Caenorhabditis elegans: one gene and its partner. The protein of the gene in region 2 purifies or fractionates together with the protein of the main gene of each other region. This does not show direct contact. Each region holds a gene or a part of one and is shown on either strand. Other genes may lie near its edges. The genes, in order: aak-2 and vgln-1.

What was found.
Region 1: the proteins of vgln-1 (region 2) and aak-2 fractionate together in Caenorhabditis elegans (co-fractionation; one large-scale study listed by BioGRID). This does not show direct contact.

What each region holds. Positions count from the first base shown.
Region 1 is NC_003284.9:16,792,891-16,804,919, forward strand, and holds aak-2 (5'-AMP-activated protein kinase catalytic subunit alpha-2), read left to right. Parts: upstream 1-3,198; coding exon 3,199-3,341; intron 3,342-4,224; exon of another isoform or gene 4,225-4,284; intron 4,285-6,816; coding exon 6,817-6,980; intron 6,981-7,155; coding exon 7,156-7,624; intron 7,625-7,798; coding exon 7,799-7,917; intron 7,918-8,142; coding exon 8,143-8,248; intron 8,249-8,337; coding exon 8,338-8,443; intron 8,444-8,492; coding exon 8,493-8,700; intron 8,701-8,801; coding exon 8,802-9,113; intron 9,114-9,523; coding exon 9,524-9,675; intron 9,676-9,858; coding exon 9,859-9,960; 3' UTR 9,961-10,501; downstream 10,502-12,029. Other genes in the region: got-1.2 (Aspartate aminotransferase, cytoplasmic), read right to left, coding at 1-222; Degenerin mec-4, read right to left, coding at 10,502-10,687, 10,827-10,902, 10,951-11,079, 11,137-11,197, 11,242-11,356, 11,480-11,575, 11,627-11,799, 11,893-11,981 and 1 more. UniProt on the Caenorhabditis elegans protein: Acts as a sensor that couples lifespan to information about energy levels and insulin-like signals. Role in motility and response to oxidative stress. Involved in the establishment of germline stem cell (GSC) quiescence during dauer development.
Region 2 is NC_003280.10:9,883,283-9,894,263, reverse strand, and holds vgln-1 (K Homology domain-containing protein), read left to right. Parts: upstream 1-3,182; 5' UTR 3,183-3,322; coding exon 3,323-3,341; intron 3,342-3,387; coding exon 3,388-3,657; intron 3,658-3,704; coding exon 3,705-5,095; intron 5,096-5,144; coding exon 5,145-6,311; intron 6,312-6,361; coding exon 6,362-6,979; intron 6,980-7,024; coding exon 7,025-7,222; 3' UTR 7,223-7,720; downstream 7,721-10,981. Other genes in the region: C08H9.16 (Protein FRA10AC1 homolog), read right to left, coding at 1-47, 551-782, 832-977, 1,025-1,475; algn-8 (Dolichyl pyrophosphate Glc1Man9GlcNAc2 alpha-1,3-glucosyltransferase), read left to right, coding at 7,826-7,918, 7,961-8,103, 8,147-8,243, 8,740-8,955, 9,026-9,158, 9,209-9,462, 9,508-9,613, 9,663-9,784 and 3 more.

The DNA of each region.
Region 1 (12,029 bases), on a different chromosome or scaffold from region 2:
GTGACCGAGAACTGGAAGATACTCGTGATTGAGCGAGGTGTCGTTGGCGATTTCGACTTCAGTCTCATGAACGACTGGAAGCACCCATGGCTGTCCCTCCTCTGTGCGGTAGGCTCCAATTGTCAGGTTAACTTTGACGGGAGCCGTCTCATCGAGGTACATCTTGTTCTTGTGGAACACCTCGATTGGTGGAGCAACTGGGATTCCGTCAAAGAAGGACATGTTGAGTGTTGTTTCTGGAATTAAAAAAAATCAATAAGTTTAGTTATAGAAATTGAAGAGATGAAAAGAGTGGCGGTATGCCGCAAAACGCGATAATGAGGTGTATTTATATAGCGAAAGAGATCAAAATCGAAAAATGACCACGTTAAAAGGAGGTCACCTCATCGACATTCGAGAGGATTTACTTGGAAACAAAAAACGTTTTAGGTGTTTCCAATAAAAATCGATTTGATGATAAAAATTATTATACGATAAGAAACGTAAAACTTTCTACTTTCTTATTTTAGCACTCAAGAAATCAACAGAAACGTGTGTTGATAAGACTACGGGCCCAGTTTCAAGACTGAACTAGATGGTTACTTTCTATTGCACCAAAGTCGACAGTTCACAACAAAAGTTACAGGAAATTTTGCCTAGTTTTCGGACAAATTGAGGAAAGGGGGTCTCAAAAACGGACTGCCTCTTCTCGACAACTCTTTCTCGTCGGCCCGCCCTCCAATAAGCACACACTATTTCCGAGAAAACAACACATGCGGGTAGAAAACGAGAGGCAGCGTTGTTGTTTGCCAGAGACGTTTTTCGAGACGTGACCATTTTGAAAATTTTTATTTCGAGGAAAACGTGATGGCAAGGTGGAGAGAACGGGCAAAACGCAGCGCAATGAGATCGAAATGTGTCATTTGTGAGGGTTTCAAAGTGTTCTTTGATAAGGCAAATTACTTTTTTGAAAATTGAAAAAAAAGATTGGATATTTATCTAGGTTAATGTAATAAGATCCTAGGAATAAATGAAATTATATCAAAATTCCCTCACCAAAAATGAAAAACTATTTTTTTTTTTGAAATTTTCTAGTGGAAGTTTTCTTCTGTTTTTGCCTATAGAAAAACCTTGAAAGAGCTGATTTTTTCAAAATCCCTTTACAAAAGGAATCAAGGTTAACCTATACAACTACCTCGTGAACTTCAAAGATTCAAAAACCAAACGACCACTTCAAAAATTATTGGCAAAATGACCTTTTGAAATGAGTGATGGTGCGAAACCGCCTAGATAAATAAATATAACAATCTCACGTGGCCAGGCGGAAAAACATGTTTATGTAAATTTTCGAAACGAAAAATAATCGGTTTTCTTTTTGGGGTGATGATGGCGGGACATGATGAAAAGAAATGGAACAGTATACACGAGAAAATCCAAGTTGCTGGGTATTTAGAAATATGGATGAGAACTAAACAACATTCCGCCCGGTAAACGCCTTTGAATGAATGAGAAGTAAAAATGAAAAAAAATCACAGAAAAATATTCACCGTAATGAGAATTTGCATACAAGATTTCCGGTAGAAAGAAGGGTGAGAGAAGAGGTAAAGAAAAAGGCGATAAGAGGCGCCTCCGGGCCGCCTTAAAGCCTCAATTCTACGTGGCGAAGTTCTCAACAAAGTTTTGTAAAATTTACGACAACTAAAAATTTTTTCAGCACATTCTGATTTATTATTTTAGTCACCGACTTTAATGGGTGGCCTTTAATGATTTTGAAGTTAATTTGAAAATTTTTAAAATCAATAAAGATGAACATGGACATGGATTTTTCACAAAACTAACAATTAAGAGGCAACAAAAACAAACATAATGATAGTTGTTAGAAAAATGGAAATTGAACAAAAATTTCAAAAACAAAGAAAGCAAGTCAACAAGTGTCTAACGAAGAAGTAAACTTTTCTCATCACTTGGACGCCGAGTGTGCTCAAAACCATTGTGCTCCGAAATATGACACTTTTCAACTCGTCCCATCGTTCAAAGTTATTATTCCCTCTCATTTTTTTTCCCGCGCTCTCGTTGGCTCTCGTATCATGAGCTCTCGTTGACAAGTAACTTTTAAGTTTCAAAATTTATCTATAGTTGTTAAAGTATAATGTTTTCCTAGAAGCTGTAAGCTTGGCAGGTGACTTTCCCTGCGGGAATTGCGAAAAAAATAGAGACTGAATAAAACGCATATACTGTTTCATATTGTCTGGCACGTGCCTTGTGGCAGGAGGTATACCAATACACTGCCCCGTTCTGATCCGATTACTTTGACAAAAGTCGCCGAGTCTGATACTCACAAACAGTAGCGTCAAGTGAGGAGGGCTCACTTTACCAGAATTTATTATGAATGTTTCTGGTATCATCACATTGTTTCAACTTTCCACGCGCTGTTACATTGCGTTTTGAATCGATTTTTTGGTATTCTGCCAAATATAGCTTCAGTGCGTTGCACTCGAGCATCTGAACATATTTGCTTTTTGTTTGGCGAGAGGAAGGAAAAAGCACTGAAAAGTGCTTAAAAATCGTTTTGAAATAAGGATTAGTAACTGGATTAGAGCTAGAGCATTAAGTGATATTAGGCAATTTTTGTTATTTCTAAAAATATGGAACTATGCGGGTGGAATTTTTTGTTCACATGAACGTGTCAAAAAAATTGTTAATGTTCATACCCTCATTTACATTTCCACTTTTATGGCATTTTGGAAAAAGATGGCTATATTCGCCCTGTTAGTTTTAGAAAACCTTTTCCACTAGATATTGAAATTTCGAAGTGAAGTTTTCGCTTTCATCAAACATTCTTCGAGAGCTAGCTTCAATTGTTCTCCTTCATTTTTTCTATTGCTTTATGTTGCATTGAATAGCTAAAAAAAAATTCAAAAAGCTATCCCTTCAAAAAAAGAAAATTCGCTGCTTCTCGACGTGAAAAACAATGAAAAAAGTGTTCGGTGAGTACTTGTTCTATTTACACAGCAAACCTTTTTAGCAGCCGAGCTGTTAGAAAAACCAAAAAACGCCACCAAAATATGCTTATTCACATTTTCCGTCATCACCATCGCCGCCGATTTCTGCGCATGACAAAGTGGCTTTTCTCTCTTTTTTTGGATTTCAAGGTCTAACATTGCCGTTCTAATGCCCGTTTTTTAGGTTACATTTCAAAATAACCGACTATTTTCAGAAATGTTTTCTCATCAAGATCGAGACCGCGATAGGAAGGAGGACGGTGGTGGAGACGGTACTGAGATGAAATCCAAGAGTCGGAGTCAGCCAAGTGGACTTAATCGCGTGAAAAATCTTTCAAGAAAGCTATCGGCAAAGTCAAGGTTAGTTTTTGAGGGGTTTTCGGGGGGTCAAGGGAAGTCAAAAACCGCAATTCTAAAATTTTGCGATGGGTAGCCACAGAAGGGATGTTCTTTTCATTTGAAAATGTGAAAAAGATTAATTTTTTTTAAAACCACACTGATGAGTTTAGTGAAAAAATTAAACATGCTTCTAGCGCCTCAGCTAATCAACTCAGATTTTCCGTACAAATTACTTTAGTATTACGAAATATTGAAAAATTCATCGGCCCTCAGCAAATTAGATTCCAATTCGGGAAAATACTGAATTTTCCCTGAATTCCGTGTTTTGTCTGTGTGAATTAAAGATTGTTCACATTTAAAATAACGTACCAAGGTTTTTTTTTGAAAACTTTCTAGATCACTAGTTTTTGAAAGACTAAATATTAATTTTCAGCAACTTTTTGTAAACGCCCATTACGATTAGCAAAACAGAAAAAGATAACAGCAAAAATGTTCAATGCAAAAACAAAAGAAAAGAGACTGGAGCCTTAATGCAAAACGAACAATGTGGGGGCCCTTCCCGAATAAGTGAGCCGCGCGGAACGCTGCCGCCCTCCACTAAACAACGCGCGGTACGATACTCCGTTCATCGGACCAACTTCCCCCCTCTTTACCTAGTTGGCAACATTTTCTTCGTATTCTCACGGATTCTCCTCATTCATTCCGCTTTCAAACCCAATTTCCGTGCATTTAGCATTGGAAAAACACGTGCCGCAACGTATCCGAAAATAGTGTGAGACGCAGACGGCTGGCGCCCCGCGTGAGGCGACCAAAAGGCTTTTCTTCTTTTTGTCCTCCGTTGAAAATCATGGTAAATTGAGTGATCTCGTTTGCGTATTTGTGTGTATGAGAGAGTGTGAGTGTGTGTGTGTGTGTGTGTGGACACGCCAAAGCTTGATGGAGTCACATGTATATCATGAAAAACACAAACAGATACCACACCAACGAATCTTGAACCTTGAGTTCTTCCGCCAGTGTTCATTTTTAACATCTCTTCATCGTTCTGCAAGGAGACCTGTCAAAATTTCCAACAAAAAAAAGAGTTTCCCATAAATTAGGAAAATTCTGATAGGTTCGGAAGTTTTCCGTGAAGTAACTGAATATATTTTCAATGATCACGAGAAGGCAATTGAATAAATGTTAGTTGGAAAATTTTTATTGAGCTTCTAGATTTTGTTGTCTAATATTTGAGCCTCAAACTTTTAATATAGGTTATTATTTTTTATTGCAGCCGACAATTTTTTGTGGCAATTTATATACAAAAGCATAAATATCTGAGATGCTTAGTTTCATAGAAATTCAGTTCAAGAGGCTTCACCGTATAATATAATATATTCTTGCTGAAACTACAGGAAAATTTAGTGGGAACTTGTGAAATTTGAAAGCTCCCAGATTCGATTTTGTCATTCTTTTATGCAATGCAAAAATTATTTTTAAAAAACTGTTTTCGACATTTTCTCATGATTTGTGAAAAAGTTTTTTTCTCAAATAGAAGTTAAGCTCATTTTTCTAAATAGTTTTTCTAAACCCTGGATTGTCTCAAATCCGCTGTAGAAAAGTTGAAGCGACTGACATCTTATGAGCTAAATTTTTCCTGAGTTTTTGAAATAGACTACATCTTGATAATTGAACATTACAGTTTGACAAAATTTATAAAAATATTGATCAGTTGGATTTTATTATTTTTCTGTTGTTTTGTTCTAGCTCCAGTAGGGTGGATATTTTTCAAAAATCTCAAATTTTTGTGCAACTTCTATTAGTACAAATATAAAAATATTTCAAACGTGCACTTTTTGAACATGGACATACGTTAAATTTCCAATATAAAGGGCAAACTTTCAGCTGAGTTAGGAGAATATGAGCAGCTGTTAATCACATAAATCTAACAAAAAAACCACATGTTCCAACTTAAAATTGATTTCAAAATTTTGTGGCCAAAATGAAACCCTACGATGTCAGCCGAGTTTACTTTTTCAAAGTGCAGTTAGAAAAATTGTCTCAATTTTTTATCAGTGGAAACGTTTTTGGTAGTCTCACTAATTTTAAAGTTTAACTCGTTTTAGTAGAAGTCATTTAAAAAATTCAAAAATTGCGGTGTAACAGTTCTTTTAATACTTTTTCAAATGCCATAAATCGTCTGTAATTAATTTTCTACCAACTTGACAATTTCAATTAGTAAAATCACAGTTTTAATGCATAACTTTTTGATGCTAGTCGTATCAAATTGTGATTATTGTTGTTATCTTCACCACTTATATTACGAGTGTATCAAATTTCGATGACACAATACGGCTATTATTCATTGAGCGCTTGTGTTTTCTCTATCGTCTCCACTGTCTGACCTTCGATGATGTTTTTCTACATGTTTTTTTGTTCTCTCAAAATAGATGTTTCAGTTCCTCCAACCTTTTGAAAATCTGTAATTGGTGTTGATTTTGGAACCTTTCCTATTGTCTCTTCTACCATTCATATCCGGCACATTTATGTCAAAACACTGACTGCACCTGCTGTTTTTGAAATTTAGTGTCTGGTGTCTGGGCGGCAGTCATAAGACCTGATGGGCATACGGTTTTCCTAGAGACTCCTACTGCAATGGTCATTCTGTGATAAGAAGTTGCTTTTTTGTTTATCCATTCAAAATTACCATCCAAAAACCACACCAGTTATCAATTTTTAAGTCTTTGAGACCCGTAAAATCAATCAATCATGTCCACATTGCACTTTTGCCTGTAGAAAAACGCGATTTTCGGTTTTCAATCTTATCTCATTTCTGGTTTTCGTTCCCATTTGACTACTTGTTGTCAATTTTTTAGGTTAGGTCTAAATAAATATTAAAGATTTTTTAAAAATTTAAATGAAAGTTCAATTTCTTCTTTCTATTTTTTTGTTCCTACCTACCAACGCTGTTTGCGCCGGAGGACGATAGACATAAGGAAACGAACACACGGGATGCCTTTCCCTTCTATTTTTCTCCTCTTTTTCTCTATCTCTCGCCATTGCTTTGTGCTGTATGGTCAACTCTCGTTGTCTTCGCTGTGCGTGTGTGTTTGTCTGTTGTTAGAAAACGAGGAAAATTGTGAGAAAGAGTGAGCGAGGAAGATCGAGAGAGAAGAGTGTGCGTGTGAGAGGTGTAGGGGTCGCGAGAGTGTGCGGGAGGTTGGCGGACCTTTTACCACATTTTCGGCCAAAGGAAAAAAGGCATCGATCTTTGTTGGTTGTAGTTCTAGACATTTTTTGTTTCTGCTATGTTCTCAAAACACCAAAACTTGTTCTTAGATTTCTGATCTTTGAAAAATACATGCTCTTTATACACTTGTTTTTCTCGTTGTTTTGCTATTTGCAGGAGGTTCCTCGTGACTGTATTTATTGATTTTTTAACTGAACAATTATTCTGAGGAACTTGTGAATTCGAGATTTTACTTACGATCATTTACCTACCAACAACGTACGTTTTCAGAAAGGAACGCAAGGACCGCGATAGCACAGACAACAGTTCGAAAATGTCGTCTCCAGGAGGAGAAACGTCGACGAAGCAGCAACAAGAGCTCAAAGCTCAAATCAAAATCGGACATTACATTCTCAAGGAGACACTCGGAGTTGGTACTTTTGGTAAAGTAAAAGGTAAGCTACAACACCTTAAAATTCAACCAAACCGGAAAGTTAGAAACTTTTTCATTTGCTGCAACTTCCTGGCAACACCATAAGCTGCCAAATTGTTGCAAAAATTTTGTCCCAATCTGCCAAATACTGACATATTTATCTTTCTTTTCTGTTCATCTAGTTTTCACATTTTCAGTTGGAATCCATGAGACAACTCAATACAAAGTGGCTGTCAAGATTCTGAACCGTCAGAAGATCAAGTCACTGGATGTCGTTGGAAAGATTCGCCGCGAAATCCAAAACCTCTCGCTCTTCCGCCATCCGCATATCATCCGCCTCTACCAAGTCATCAGTACACCTTCTGACATTTTCATGATTATGGAGCACGTTTCCGGCGGGGAGCTCTTTGACTACATTGTTAAGCACGGACGGCTGAAGACCGCAGAAGCTCGTCGCTTCTTTCAACAAATCATTTCCGGCGTTGACTACTGTCATCGTCATATGGTTGTCCATAGAGATTTGAAGCCAGAGAATTTGTTGCTCGATGAGCAGAACAATGTGAAGATTGCGGACTTTGGACTTTCAAATATTATGACGGATGGTGACTTCTTACGCACCAGCTGCGGATCGCCAAATTATGCTGCCCCTGAGGTTATTAGCGGAAAGTGAGTGATTATGGTGGTCTCCTGATCATGGTTCAATGTAAAATAAAAACCAAATTAGAACTGAATAACAAAACATGAAACATGTGTTCGCAAACACCAAGACGACATTTTGCACTAGTAGAAATCCAATTAAAGTAATTGAACAAGATTAGACACAACAACTTTGTTTTGCAGGTTGTACGCAGGTCCCGAAGTTGATGTATGGTCGTGTGGAGTCATTTTGTATGCACTTCTTTGTGGAACCCTGCCATTTGATGATGAGCACGTGCCAAGTCTTTTCAGAAAAATTAAATGTACGTTAGTGTGACATGAGAATCAAAACACAAAAATGGCAAAGGATTACGACAACATACCAATTTCATTTAGACATATGAAAGCGAAATGGGATTTGAAAATTGAAATATCCCTATTACAAAAGGCACTATTACTATGTTTTGGCGCACTGCCCGGGTGATAAATGTTTGAAATTTAAATTGGAATCATTAAAAATTATAACGTTCACGAAATATGTTTTTTAGCTGGCGTATTCCCAACTCCAGACTTTCTGGAGCGCCCAATTGTAAATCTGCTTCACCATATGCTCTGCGTAGACCCGATGAAGAGGGCCACCATCAAGGACGTCATGTAAGTGGTCTTCTAAAAAGAAAAAAAAAACAAACATCGTTGCTATGAGACGCCAAGGAAACAAGACAATAACTGCTTTATATTTTCAGTGCTCACGAGTGGTTCCAGAAGGATTTGCCGAACTACTTGTTCCCACCAATCAACGAGAGTGAGGCTTCCATTGTTGATATTGAGGCTGTCCGAGAGGTCACTGAGGTATTAATCGTGTTCGATAGGAGCAGAAGTTTCTAATCACAATGAAAAGTTTCAGCGCTATCATGTCGCCGAAGAGGAAGTCACCTCAGCATTGCTGGGAGATGATCCACATCACCATTTGTCGATTGCATATAACTTGATTGTTGATAACAAGAGAATTGCCGATGAGACTGCCAAGTTGTCAATTGAGGAGTTTTATCAAGTGACGCCGAATAAGGGACCTGGACCAGTTCATCGCCATCCAGAGCGCATTGCAGGTAGGAGAGGGTGCATAGAAAAACTCTTGGTGGCAAAGAATAATAAAACTTTTGCATCGAACATGAAATTCGTAAAACAATATCTAAATCTTCAATTTCAGCGTCAGTCAGCAGCAAGATCACACCAACTCTCGACAACACGGAAGCCAGTGGCGCGAACCGCAACAAACGTGCCAAGTGGCATCTGGGTATCCGATCCCAAAGTCGTCCGGAAGACATCATGTTCGAGGTGTTCCGTGCGATGAAGCAGCTGGACATGGAGTGGAAGGTGCTCAACCCATATCATGTGATTGTTCGTCGCAAGCCTGATGCACCCGCTGCCGACCCGCCAAAGATGTCGTTGCAGTTGTACCAAGTGGATCAGAGAAGTTACTTGTTGGATTTCAAGAGTTTGGCCGACGAGGAGTCTGGATGTAAGGGTTTTCTTTGTTTAGATTGAACTTTTTGAAAGTGGAACCTGTTTAAAATATTTAGTTAATCGTTCTAGAAAATACTAGAAAATACAAGTTAGTGCATTTTTTTAAACTAAAATCACAATTTGAATTTGAAAAGCCGTAGAATAATATTTTGCAATGGTCTCTGAACATGCCCCTCTATAACCTAAGTTTCTGCATGTAGTCTAGCTTAACGTGTCACAATAATTTTGTTCAGAAATGTTTAAAACGAAGTTTGCTTTGCAGTTGGAAAAATAAAAAGGTCAATGGAAATTCTTTTTCAATAGCGTCAAGTCTTCTCAAGACGATTTTTTTTGTATGCATTTTTTCCTAATGGGTCAAATGAATATATAATTTCCACCTCAACCAATATTCATTAAAAATTTCAGCCGCCAGTGCATCTTCATCCCGACACGCATCAATGTCTATGCCGCAGAAGCCGGCCGGAATTCGTGGAACTAGAACGTCAAGCATGCCACAGGCGATGAGTATGGAGGCGAGTATTGAGAAAATGGAAGTGCATGATTTTTCGGACATGTCGGTGAGAATTAATATTTTTCTTTTATTTCAATATTTTTATTGTGAAGTATTACAAATAACTGGAATTGTATTTGGAGTGGTTGATATAGTTATAGGTTTTTTAAAAATCTTCGAGTGACAAGAAGTTGATGCCACTACCTTTAAATAATTAACGCACTAATTTTCAATGACCGAGTATTTTCAGTGCGATGTGACACCACCACCATCTCCTGGAGGAGCTAAGCTTTCCCAGACTATGCAATTCTTTGAGATTTGCGCCGCATTGATTGGAACACTGGCTCGTTAAGCACTCCTTGATGCCAACAATGCTCTGTGTAAAATTCAACTTTTCTGTCTCAAAATTTATTTCTTCCATTCCTTGTATTAAGCTTGAAACCCCCGTTTCTTATATTGGTTCACTTTGTTGCAGCTTACAGTATCTTTGTATTTTTTTTCTTGACTCTGTTTGGTTTTGCCCCTCCCCCCTTCACCTCCGTAAATGCCACGTATTTTAATTGATGCTATTCTAGTGCCGCTTTCATTTTCAGCCAATTTTGACAAGTAACCATACAAATAATTATTTAAAGTTATGACTTGACTTGTCACCCCCTTTGTTTCTGTGAATAGATTTTCCTTCAGCGAGTGATTGTTTCTGTTTTTTATATGTTTCTCTTCAGTAGTTTTTTTTTCTGTCTTTTAAACTCCCCTTCTCCTACTTCTTTGTGTCTATTGTAAGTAAAATATTAATTGAATAATTTCCTACCCAAAATTATTCAATTATTCTCATGTAAATTTTTATTTTAAGACACAACATTGCAATGGTAACTTTAAAACAAGAAAAAACAAATTCAGAAAGATCCAGACGCAATTTTCTTTGCCTTCTCAGCCTTCTTCTTTTTGTACAGAGAGTAGTTATGTTCGGCACTCATGTAGGCAGTTTCCAAGAAAAGGAACACAAATTCGCAACAGGTAAGGAAGGATATTCCGCACCAAAGACCGAGTTGTCCACCAAAATCGGCTAGCAAGTTGACAAACTAGAAATAGTTGAGATAAATTTTTTGGAATAAAAATAAATTTTTTTTTGCCTGCTCGCTAGTAGTAATTCGGCATTTTTTCGAATTTTTTTGATACATTTCTTTGATACACGTTCTTTGCCTAAATTTTTCAACTCACCCCATAAGCCTCTGATTCAGTGAGCATTTCAAAATTCAACTGCTCGTAGAACACTTCCACCATTGCTCCGTTCTCTCTCAAATAGGCCCAATTTTAAAGTGTGTTTTTTCTTGAATTAACTTACTTATAATGCTTATTACACTCTACCGCTGTACCATTACACGATCCTAGTTGAATTTGCAAAGATAACGACGGCCACTTTGCCGGCGAGTATGTAACGGAGTAGATTGACTGGCGGCATGGTTGTTGGCATCTTAAAATTGAAATTGCAGTTTTTTATTTAAAAAGTATATAACAATTCAAAAGTTACCTGCAACGGAAAGATCCGTGTAGGCCTCCCAAGTCATTCATTCTGGCGTCAAGACATTTTCCTGCAGAAAAAAATATTTATGGAGATGTCAAATTTGAAACTAACTTGCAATAGGGTCTGCTGCATCGCAATGCCGTGCATTTTCAGGGACTGGGAAACGTGGATCTCCACATCTGCACTCTTTCAGCACGAGTTGTTGGAAGCAAGAACGGTAGCAGCCCTGGAATAGTTCCCTCTGTTATCATATTAAGTTCTATATTTAATTGCTATTTTAACAAGAATCACAAAGTTTCTATGACCCATTTTTCCTACTAAACTTGCTTAAATTCTGTTTACTATTCACCTCTACCGAATATTCATAATTGCTGTAAATATAGTCCGATGTTTTGCCATCTGGCACACAATCTCCATAAGGTGCTGGCAAACGTGACATCTTTCGCTGAAAACAACAACACCATTACTCTATAAAAAGAGTTTGAATTTCTAATACCAATCGTAATCCAAATGAGGATACATATCCAGTTGGAGCAGAATAACCGAACGTATCAGGAAATGGGAAATCTTCTTTGTCATGAATAGTCAAACGAACGCCTGTGGCTTCCGTGGTTGGCATATAGTCAGACGCGTTTACATAAACCAGCATACGTAATCCGTACATGGGACCTGGAATCGGAACACGTTTTTTGGTTTATACATAACGGACTTCAAAAATTATTTTAGAAAAAAATATGTGGAAAAAATTTTGAGGAAACTAACCTGCTCGAATACTAGTCAAGTTTACTGTTCGATTATGATTGAAGGTAAAGCACGAACCAAACGCAGGGTCAATATGAGTCAGAAAATCTCTGAATAATTGAATTTATATCATATCTGAAAGCCTAACTAACGCTTCG
Region 2 (10,981 bases):
TTCCCAAATATCAGTTGATGCAGACAGTGTGGACGTTGATGGTTGAACTGAAAAAAAAATGTTTTAGTATTTTGATGGTGAAGGTATAATTTTTATAATGGACGAAAATCGAGAGAACTTGAAAAAAGTCATTCTGGAAACTTTACAAAACTTTCAGTTTATTTCTTTAACTACTGTAGAGTTCCGCGAAATTGCTCAAAAATGAATTTTTGCAGACTAGACTAGATTTCAATTCCTAGGAAAAGGCGAAAATTCTGGAAGTTTTGTTTTAAATATATATTTCTGAAAACAATTTTTTACCAGAAACAACATTTTTCGCCCAAAATTTAAAAAAAAAGTTCGTTTTTTCAGACATATTGTTCATAATTTATGGATTTTCTAAAACATTTTGAAACATGAAATTTTCAAAACTTGTTTTGTGTTTAAGGTTTATCTCCTGATTACGGTACTTTTCTGACAAGAATTGAGGTTTCAACTTAAATTATAATTCTATGCAAATTTTAGTTTATTTTAGATTATTTTTAAAATTTTGTTTTAAATAATATTGCACCTTTGGTTTCTTGATTTTTCGCTTCATGTTGATTCAATTCTACGTCATCATCTTCTTCCTCATCCTTTTTAGTTCGTTTCCGTTCTTTTTCCCATTTCCGAACTGCTCGTTTCTTCTGAACAACTTGTCGTTTACGTGTTCCGTAGTTGAGCTTTTCCGAGCATTTTGGGCATAATCTCGCCTTCACCAGCGTACTTTTGACCCGATTGTCTTCCTTGTAAGTGAAGTTAACCTAAGATACTTTTATTTATTATTATAGAAATCTTTAAGGAAAATCTCACCTCCCAACTAGATAAATGAGCAGTTTCATTACATTTTCTTGCTCCACACGATAGTTGTCCTTTTCCTTCTTTTACTTCATTTTCAGTTCGCCATCGCATACCTATTTTGTTCGTTTTGTACATGGAGAGATCAACTATGCAATACTCTGAAATAAACAAACATTAATTTAGAATCATTAATCTCATATTTTACCTTTAAATAATTTATCGTAATATTTCTTCGCCATTCTCGTTTCCCATGAATTTTTATCAGGTTGTGAAGCGTTAATTTCATCGTCCTCACTCCAAACAAATCTGTGATGCTTTTTAAGGACATCCAGGTCAGTTGTTTCGTCTTGAATTTTCCGATTTAACAATTTCGTAGCTCCCGGGTATGAAAGATAATATAAATTGATCATTTCCTTATGTCGATCATACGCGTTCATAGACATCATTTTTGCCATTCTTCTATGCATTCTTCCGTGCTCTTCTTCAAAACCACCTCGTCCATCAGTCTTTCGCTTTTTCAGAATTTCACTCGAATAATCTTTATTCAAAAAATCTCCTTTTCTCTTCGGTTTAGAGCTACTTGAAGGCTCATCTCCAAAATCTGATTGTAAATCGTCAATTCCATGGTATGGGTTTCGAATTTTACGGGGATCCATTGAATATTTAACTGAAAAAACTTAAATTAATGCAAATGATATGTTTATAGCATTTTTGGTAATTATTTTCAATAATTTCCTAAATTAAAACGCCAAAAACATGTTTTAACCAATTAAAACACAAAAAACAAGTTTTAAAAAATTGACACAGCTGAAACGAGTGTTACCGTACCCCGACGCGTCTCCGAACCAGTTGCCACACTGCAAGTTCGTTTGCTCTGAAAAAACTTGTTTCTGGATATTTTTTTTGCATTTTTGCGATAATTTTAGATTTTATTTTTAAAATTCGTTATGATTATTCGGAATATCTGTGCATTGAAACCTTGTTTTAGGTCCCTTAGTCGTTGCGTCGTGAGTTTGAAAACCGTTTTTTCGATAGACATATTTTGTAGGCTTCTCCTTTCTAAAAAATCATTTTTTATCTTGTTTCACGCTATATGTTCTTTCTGAGAAAATCATAGTTAGAAACATGACAAAAAATTTATCCTGCGATGCGAATTAATTCTCGGTAAATGTCTAGGTTTTTCCCAATTTAAATTTGTCTTCTATGAATAAATTAATTGAAATCTAGGAGTATTAAATAAATGAGATTCCCGCGAGGAAACTTTTTTCAAACTCTAATCCTCAGTTGCCATGTTTGCAGTTTGTGACCCTCTCGTTTTCATTATTATTTTTATGATTGTTCTTGCCATACAACTCAACTCAGTCTATCACTGCCATCTTATCAGTAGTAGCCCGACATTTTTGTGGCTCGTTTTTCTATCTAACTGGTGTCCATCAATTGAATGTCAATAAGTTTTAAGGTGCAATTACGTGTATCTATCACTCAAAATTGGGTACATGATCCCTATCGCAGGCTAGTGGCGGTGCTAGCTGCGGCTGATTTTATCTATTTCATTTGAGGTGGATGGAAAAAGAAGATAGTTGATGGAACGGCCCTGACCTAGCAACTATAATCATCCTTCTTGCATTTCCCGATTAGCAATTTGTCAGATTTCTTATTTCTTAATAGTTGTTTCTTTCGCTCCTTCATTTAGTTCAAGTTTCTTTTTTTAGCGTTATTTTACAAAAATTATGAATAGCGTTCAATTCTGATTTCTTTCTGGTTTTAATAACCCTTTTCCGAATTCCTTAATGTTTTTGCCACACTTCTCGAGACGCTAGTGAAACTAGGGAACTTTAAAAAAAAAGAGCGGCACAAGACCAGCACCGCCACGTTGTCCATCGTTCAAGAAATGCAAGAGACGCAGAGAAAGAGTGTTCTACGTTCCAACGGGGAACTATGCGAGGAGGAACTATCCTACTGCCATCTTTACTGTGTAGTTGGCCGATTTGTGTATACGTGGTGTTTGCCCTGCGAGAGAGAGAAAGAGAGAGTCTGATCGTAATACGATTCGGCCCTGACCTATTGGGCTAAATTCATACCACTGCTTAGGATTTTCGACTTCGGTTTTCGAATATACCTTGCCTTTCAATGACAAAAATAATTTCGTGAATCATACCTTCTAGCTGTTCAGAACTCCTTTTGAAAAATACACGTCGACTTGCCTCTTCTTTAATAATACTAAAATAATAATTCTTAATTGTGGTCAGATTTCGATTCGTAAGCCTCGCAAAATTTCAATTTATCTTTTCCAATTCTCCTTTCTTCCTCTATCTTTTTTGCTCCATATGACTTTGAACAAATAGTTATCTTCTTTTTTGTAGGTATTGTTTGATTCGGACGGTTCTCGAGCCTAGTTCGGTCAACATCACAGGTCGCCTCAACAGACTCCCCCGATCGGATTAATTGCCTTGCGCACGGACCCCCGGACACGGATCAGCCAACCCTTCTGACAACACGAATTATGGACAACGGACATATTGGTTGGTTAAAATTAAAAAAATATATCTTCAAGTTTTTTTGTTTCAGAAGAGACTAATAATGTCGAAATCGACCCAGCCACTGGCGGAGCTGTCATGAGCTTCAGCTATGCTTCAGATTTCCCAACCCTTCCTGACGCTGCCCCTGCATCTGCTCCAACCGCCAAACAGACTCACGTCTGGTCTCGCCCGACTCTCTCGAAATCTGAAGTTAACATCACTTTCCGTTTGGCCTCGGACGAGCGTTCCAACAAGGTGAAGAGCTTTGGAAGCACGTCAGAAGAATCAAAGAAAGCCCAGGCTATTGCCACTGCTACTAGTGAGTTTTCCCAATTCCAACGAAAATCTAATCATCTCCGCTTTCAGAGACCAGAATTGAACTCAGTGAGTCAAAGGACGGAGAACTCACTGTCGTGGTGAAGGGAGAGCGCGCAAAGGCTGAAGAAGCTCGTGCTCGCATCATCCGCGATCTCCAAACCCAGGCATCTCGTGAAATCGATATCCCAAAAGATCATCACGGACGTCTCATTGGAAAGGAGGGAGCTCTTCTCAGAAATCTCGAGGCAGAAACTAATTGTAGAATTCAAATCCCAAATCGCGATGGACCATCGTCGAAGATCACTATCACTGGACCACGCGAGGGAATTCAACGTGCTGCTGCTCACATTTTGGCCGTTTCTGAGCGCGAAGCCAAACTCGCCACAGAGCATATCGTCTGCCCAAAAAATTTGGTTGCATTTGTTCGTGGCCCAAAAAATGAGACATATGATCGCCTTACTCAAAACAATGGTGTCAAAATTAACATTCCACCACCACACGTAACGAACGAAGTTATTTCGGTAACCGGAGAAAAGGATGGAGTTCTACGTGTTGCTGCTGAAATTCGCCAGATCATCGAGTCGAAGAAAAATGTTTCGAGCATTCAAGTTGCAGTTGCTCGCACCCAACATCGTTACATTGTTGGACAATCTCGAAGCGGAATTCATGATGTTCTTCAGAAAACAGGATGCGTTGTTGAAGTACCAGCAGAAGATTCGGGATCTGACCAAGTCACACTTATCGGAAACGCTCAAGATCTTGCCAAGGCTCTGGCTCTTGTCATTGAGCGTGCTTCATCTGTGGTCACCCAATCTATTTCTGCTCCAAACTGGCTCCACAAGCATTTGATCGGACCAAAAGGAGCAACTCTTACCGCTCTCGTGCCAAACCGCAATAACGTGCAGATCGAATTTGATAACTCTAACCAGATTTTCCTCGAGGGATCTCCAGAAGAAGTTAAGCTAGCTTTCGAGCCACTCAGCAAGGAAGTTGCTCGTCTTCAAATGGAGCTCGCTATCGAGAAAGTCAAAGTTCATCCAACACTTCATCGTCATGTTATTGGACGTGGTGGATCACTCATCTCAAAAATCAAGGATCAACATGGTGTTCAGATTACTATCCCTAACGAGGAAACCAACTCTGACGAGATTGTTGTTGAAGGAAAGAAGGAAGGTGTGAAGAAGGCTGTTACCGAAATTCGGGCAATTGTCACAAAGATTGAGAACGAAAAGTCGCGTGATATCATCATTCCACAACGTCTCCACAAGCTTATTATTGGATCGAAAGGCTCCGGAGTTCAAGTCATTCGCGATTCTCATCCAAATGTATCGGTTGTGTTCCCTGATGCCAAGTCGAAGTCTGACGTTGTTAACATCCGTGGAGACAAGACTGAGGTTGATGCTGTCTACAAGAAGCTCACCGCTCTTTCTAAGGAATATGTAAGTTGAAAACACATTATTAGACGATTTTAATGAATTTTCATTTCAGGCTGAGAACAACTACCAACAAACTGTTGCAATCTTCAAAGAGTTTTTGAAGCATATTGTCGGAAAGGGAGGAGCCAGCATTCGCAAGCTTCGTGACGAAACCGAGACCCGCATTGATCTCCCAGAGAGTGGATCTGACGATGGAAAAATCACTGTCACTGGAAAGCAAGCCAATGTGGAGAAAGCGGTCGCTCAGCTGAACAAAATTCAAGAGGAACTCGCCAACGTTGCTGAAGAAAGTATTGAAATTCCACAGAAAGTCCAATCTCGATTCTTTGGAAATGGACGTCGTTTGATCTCGGACATTGAGGACGAGTGCGGTGGAGTTCATATTCGTTTCCCATCAGAGAAAAGCGAATCAACCAAAGTTACCATCCGTGGACCTGCTGGAGATGTTGCAAAGGCTGTTGGACTTCTTTCTGCTCTTGCAAAGGACAAAGAAGAAAATTATGTTGAAGATACCGTCAAGGCTAAGCCAGAGTTTCATCGTTTCCTCATTGGAAAAGGTGGATCCAAGATTGCCAAACTCCGTGACACCCTCAACGTCAGAGTTATGTTCCCGAAGGAAGGAGATGCTGAGAAGGAGACGATCCATTTGCTCGGAAAGAAAGAAGACGTGCCAAAGGCTAAGGCTGCTCTTGAAGACGCTATCAAGCAACTTTCAGAGACTGTTGACATCAAGATTACTGTAGATCCAAAATACTACAAAAACTTCCTCGCCCGTGGAGCTGCACTCGTTAAGGAGATCCAGGAACAGAACGGTGGAGTAGTCATTTCATTCCCAAAGAATGGAACTGACAGCAGTGAAGTTTCTATCCGTGGATCGAAGCAATGTGTTGAGGCTGCGAAGAACCGTATTGAAGATGTCGTTGAGGACTACGAGAAACAGATCACAGACAATGTCACCATCCCAGCTCAGTTCCATCGGGGACTTCTTGCCGGACGCGGAGCAAAGATCCACGAGCTCCAGTCAAAGTACAATGTCTCCATTAGATTCCCCAACAATCGCGAGGAAGGCTCAGAAGGATCCGATCAAGTTACTGTGTCAGGCCGTGACACCAAAGTCGAGGAAGCCAAGGAGGCTCTTCTTGCCATGGTTCCTATCTCGAAAGTCATTCAACTTCCAGTTGACATGCACCGCTCGATTATTGGTCGTGGAGGAGAGACCGTTAGTTTTTTTAGTTTTTGAATCAAAGTTTAATGAGTTAAATGTTTCAGGTTCGCAAGCTTATGCAAGACTATGATGTCAACATCTCTATTCCAAAGGACAACTCCAGCGAGGATATCACCGTGACTGGTCAGACTGAAAATGTCGATCAAGCTCTTGAGGCTCTCCGTGGAAAACTTGGCGAATACGAGGCTCAAGCCGAAGACCGCAAGCTCAAGCAATGGTCAATGTCCATCAATGTTCCAACTGATTATCATCAGAAGATTATTGGACAACGTGGAGCCACCATCACTGCTCTCAAGGAAAAGTACGGTGTTATCATCAATGTACCACGAGAGGATGGAAACGAAACGATTACCATTCAAGGATACGAGGAGAAGGCTAACGAATGCGCCGCTGCCATCGAAGAGATGATTTCTGAGCTGAGATCTATGTTCACTCAAGAAATTAGCCTTGATGCCAGATATCATCCACGTCTTATTGGACAAAGAGGAAAGAACTTGAAAAAGGTCATGGAAGACTATCGTGTCGAAATTCGTCTTCCACGTCAAGGAGCAGAAGATCCAAACTTGGTTGTCGTTGCAGGAAAAGATGAAAATGACGTGTATGATTGTATCGATCATTTGCGCGCTGAGGAAGAGGAGTTCTTGCTTGACAACGTCGAGAGAGTTAGTTTAGAAATTTGTTTCTGAATTCTTATTTCATTGTTACAGACCCAATACATGTCTCCACGCCAACAAGAGTCGAACAATACCCGTCACCATCAGCAACCAACGTCTGTCCAGATGAAGGGAGCACCATGGCAATTGGATTTGGGAAGCTCTGAGCAATTCCCAGACATGGGACCAGCAGCCGGATCATCTGCTGCCGTCGGAGGAGCCGGTGCTTGGGGATCCTCTCGTCGTTGGTAAAGAACGTTCGAATCTGGATGATTCAACCAACGTCAATAACCATAGTCACCTGCTTTCCTTCTTGTGAATTCCTTAAATCAGCCCCATCACCCCTTAAAAAGTGTATTTATTAGTTTTTTCTTGTTGATATAAATGCCCTCCCATCTACTCTTTTTTGTTTAATATTTATGTCCCCCAACGCGTTACCACCAACAAACTATTGCGGATAATCTAATCAGTCGAATGTGCCTTTCCTCTCCACCCGTTCCAGTCTAGTAATAATTTATTGTTCATGGTTTTCCCCCACTCTTTTCGGGCTTTTATCCTGTTATCCCCACTCTACACGTTTTCGTTTGTTGCTCGTTTTCTTTCTTTTTTTTCCAACTTCTTTACTCGATGTAAACTTCCCCCCAAAAGGTTTTATCCGACCCCAATCCATCCGTTTTCACCACTTGACGTTGGTTTTATCATACATATTTTTTATTATAATTTTCATTATAATAAACTGAATTGGTGTAATCAAAACAATGTATAATGATGTAGGCTAAATGTACATGTGAGAATTCTTGTTATTACCGCTTTCCAACAAATACAGATAGATCCAATATTCATGTTCCTAGAAGCATGGGCGAAGTGCAGCTGGTCCTGGCTGTGACAGCGATCCTAATATCCTTCAAATGTTTGCTGATTCCTGCTTATGTATCTACAGATTTCGAGGTAAATTGGAGTTGAACACTGTTTCCCAAGTACTCCATACAGGTTCATCGTAATTGGATGGCTGTGACGTGGCAACGGCCATTGTGTGAATGGTATACAGAAGCAACATCTGAATGGACACTCGATTATCCTCCGTTTTTCGCATATTTCGAATTGGGTCTTGCGTCTGTTGCGCACTTTTTTGGGTAACAATTGGAATTTTCTCGGGCGAATTTATTCAGTTTTTAGATTCGATGAATGTTTGGTGATATCAAAGACTCCGCGGTTTTCTCGACGAATTTTGATTTTCCAGCGATTTTCAGTAATTTTCTGCGATATTTTGTATGTGAGTTGTTTAAAAATTCAAAAAGTTTGGTAGCTCAAGCCAGACGCGAATTTTCGTGAATTTTGTGCCAATAATACGATATTGGGTCTCGCCACGACCCTGTTTTGTAAAATATAAGCGCCTTTAAAGAGTACTATAATTACAAACTTTTGTTGCTAAGGTATTTTCATCGAATTTTCAAAGTTTTTCCCACAATTTGTTTAAATTTATGTGTTTTTAATTGTTTCACATTAATTTTTCAATAAATAAATATTTTTTTAAATAGCGAAAAACAATTTTTTAAAAATCCTCAGCAACGAAAGTTTGGAACTACAGTACTCTTTAAAGGCGCACGGCCGTTTGCATTTTGCAACCAATTTTCGCGTCAAGAAGGACCGTCACCTTTCCGCAAAAACCCTAAATTTCGTTTCTGAATAATATAATTTATAGAACAAAAAATCTTGACTTCTTTAAATTAAAAAAAAACTATAAATATCAAAAATCTAGAATTATTCAGATTGCTGTCTGCGCTCTATACTCCTTCCGCTCTCCACGTCTAGTCAGCAGAATTCCGAAGAAATTGCAACAAAATGGACGAGAAGCTTGTTTCGTGCTTCTGGCATCATTACAAGCCTTAATTATTTGTGATTCAATTCATTTTCAATACAATTCGATGCTCACTGCGATTTTTTTGATGTCTCTGTTTTTTATCGATACGGAAAGATATCTGATGGTAAGAATATTTAACTTTTAAGATAAAAAATTAAAACTTTCAAACATTTTGTAATAATTGTATTTTTCAGGCAGCACTTTCCTACTCAATTTTGCTGAATTTCAAGCACATCTACGTCTATTACGCCCTCGGATACGTTTTCTACTATTTAGTCAATTATTTTCAATTCTCTGGAAATGTTCTTCTGGCCAATACGCCAAAAGGTTTGACACACGAATAATTTTATATAAGAATCAAAATTGAATATTTTCAGCAATTTCTCTCGCCATTGCTCTGCTCATTCCATTTTGTGCATCAATTTTCCCATTTATCCACGCCTCAGGAGTCCAGGGCCTTCAAAATATTGCCACCCGCCTCTTTCCGGTATCGCGAGGCCTAACACACGCCTACTGGGCGCCTAATTTTTGGGCTCTGTACAATTTCGCAGACTTATGCCTGTATAGAGTTTTAAGTTTGCTCAAGATCGGAAAGTTTGATGCTCCGACATATACGTCTGGTCTGGTTCAGGTGATTTTTTTAAAATTATTTTTTCCCGTAATGTGTACTATTCAGGAATATTCGCACAGTGTCCTACCAAATGTATCACCCATGGGAACACTCTGCCTTGTTGTCATCTCCTCAATGATAGTTCTCACTGGGTTGGTGATTCGTAGGAAAGGCAAGATCCATTCTGATCCTTCTGGCTTTGAAATTATCTTTATTTTCAGATTCTGCCGATTTCTCGTTGTTCGCCGTCTTTTCCGCCTTCTGCTTCTTCTATTTCGGATATCACGTCCACGAAAAGGCGATAATCCTGGTTACGGTACCAATGACCGTATTCGCGATTAAGGTTTAACTTTAAAAAAAAATACAGTAGAAACATGACTACGTTATTTTAAGTTTTCCAGGTTTAAAATTAGACAAAAAGGTTCAGATTTATTAAATGTTTTATAATGTCGAGAAAAATATAATTCTTCTTGTTTCAGAATCCAAAATACCATTCAATTCTGATCCACCTCACATGCATCGCCTCGTTCTCACTATTTCCACTGCTATTCACACCTTTCGAAACACTTCTGAAATATGCGATTTGTGTGTCGTACTTCTTCATACAGCTGGTGTTCCTAAAGTAAAACAAATGTTATCTGAGTTTTCCATCTTTAATAATCAATTTTCAGACGCGTCACACTTATGCCACTTTCGGATTTGATACCTACAAGACACGTTGCAAGCTGGTTACTAATGGGGATGGTGGAGGTGTATAACACATTTTTGCACAAGGTACTTCATGCCTACGTGTCTGCCTAGCGCTTTTTAACAGTAAGCACACACACGGGGCTGGCACGTTTTTTTGTGTCTATCTAGAAGGCTTATGTGGAGAACTATATAGAAAGAACATTGTATATTTTTATAGTTTAATGGAAAATGTAGTTAATTTAATTTAATTTAATTTATTACGTTACTTTTTTTTATTCAAAAAATTTTCCAATTTCAGTGGCTCTGGACGTCTCGCCTTCCATTTGCCCCTCTCATGGCGATATCAATACTCACCGCTATCGAGCTTACCGGACTGATAGGTGCTCTTATCTGGAGCACATTTGGAGATGGAATATTCGAAATTTGGTGGGCAAAAGCCACTTGTCAGATTCGCGAGCGTCTTATCCGCGATTCAACATACTCTGTACAAGCTGTGGAGGACTTGGACGATGTGAAGTTGGTTGCTGGAATTGATACATCGGCGGCTAAACTAAATTCTGATATGGTTTATATTAGTGTCAGTTTTTGGACGTATCCAGATCTTAAACACGTGGCAACCATTTCTGACACCAGGATGCTCGAACTACCGTATATCCCACAATACTTGGCAGTTAGAGAAGCAGAAGTTATGGCTGATTTCCTGAAAAGTGTGATCACAGAGCGTCCAGAGCTCCGACCGGATGTGATTTTGTGTGACGGATTTGGAGAGTTTCATTCAAGAGGTTGTGGAATGGCTTGTCACGTGGGAGCTCTTTCCGGAATTGCCAGCATTGGTGTTGCCAAAAATTTG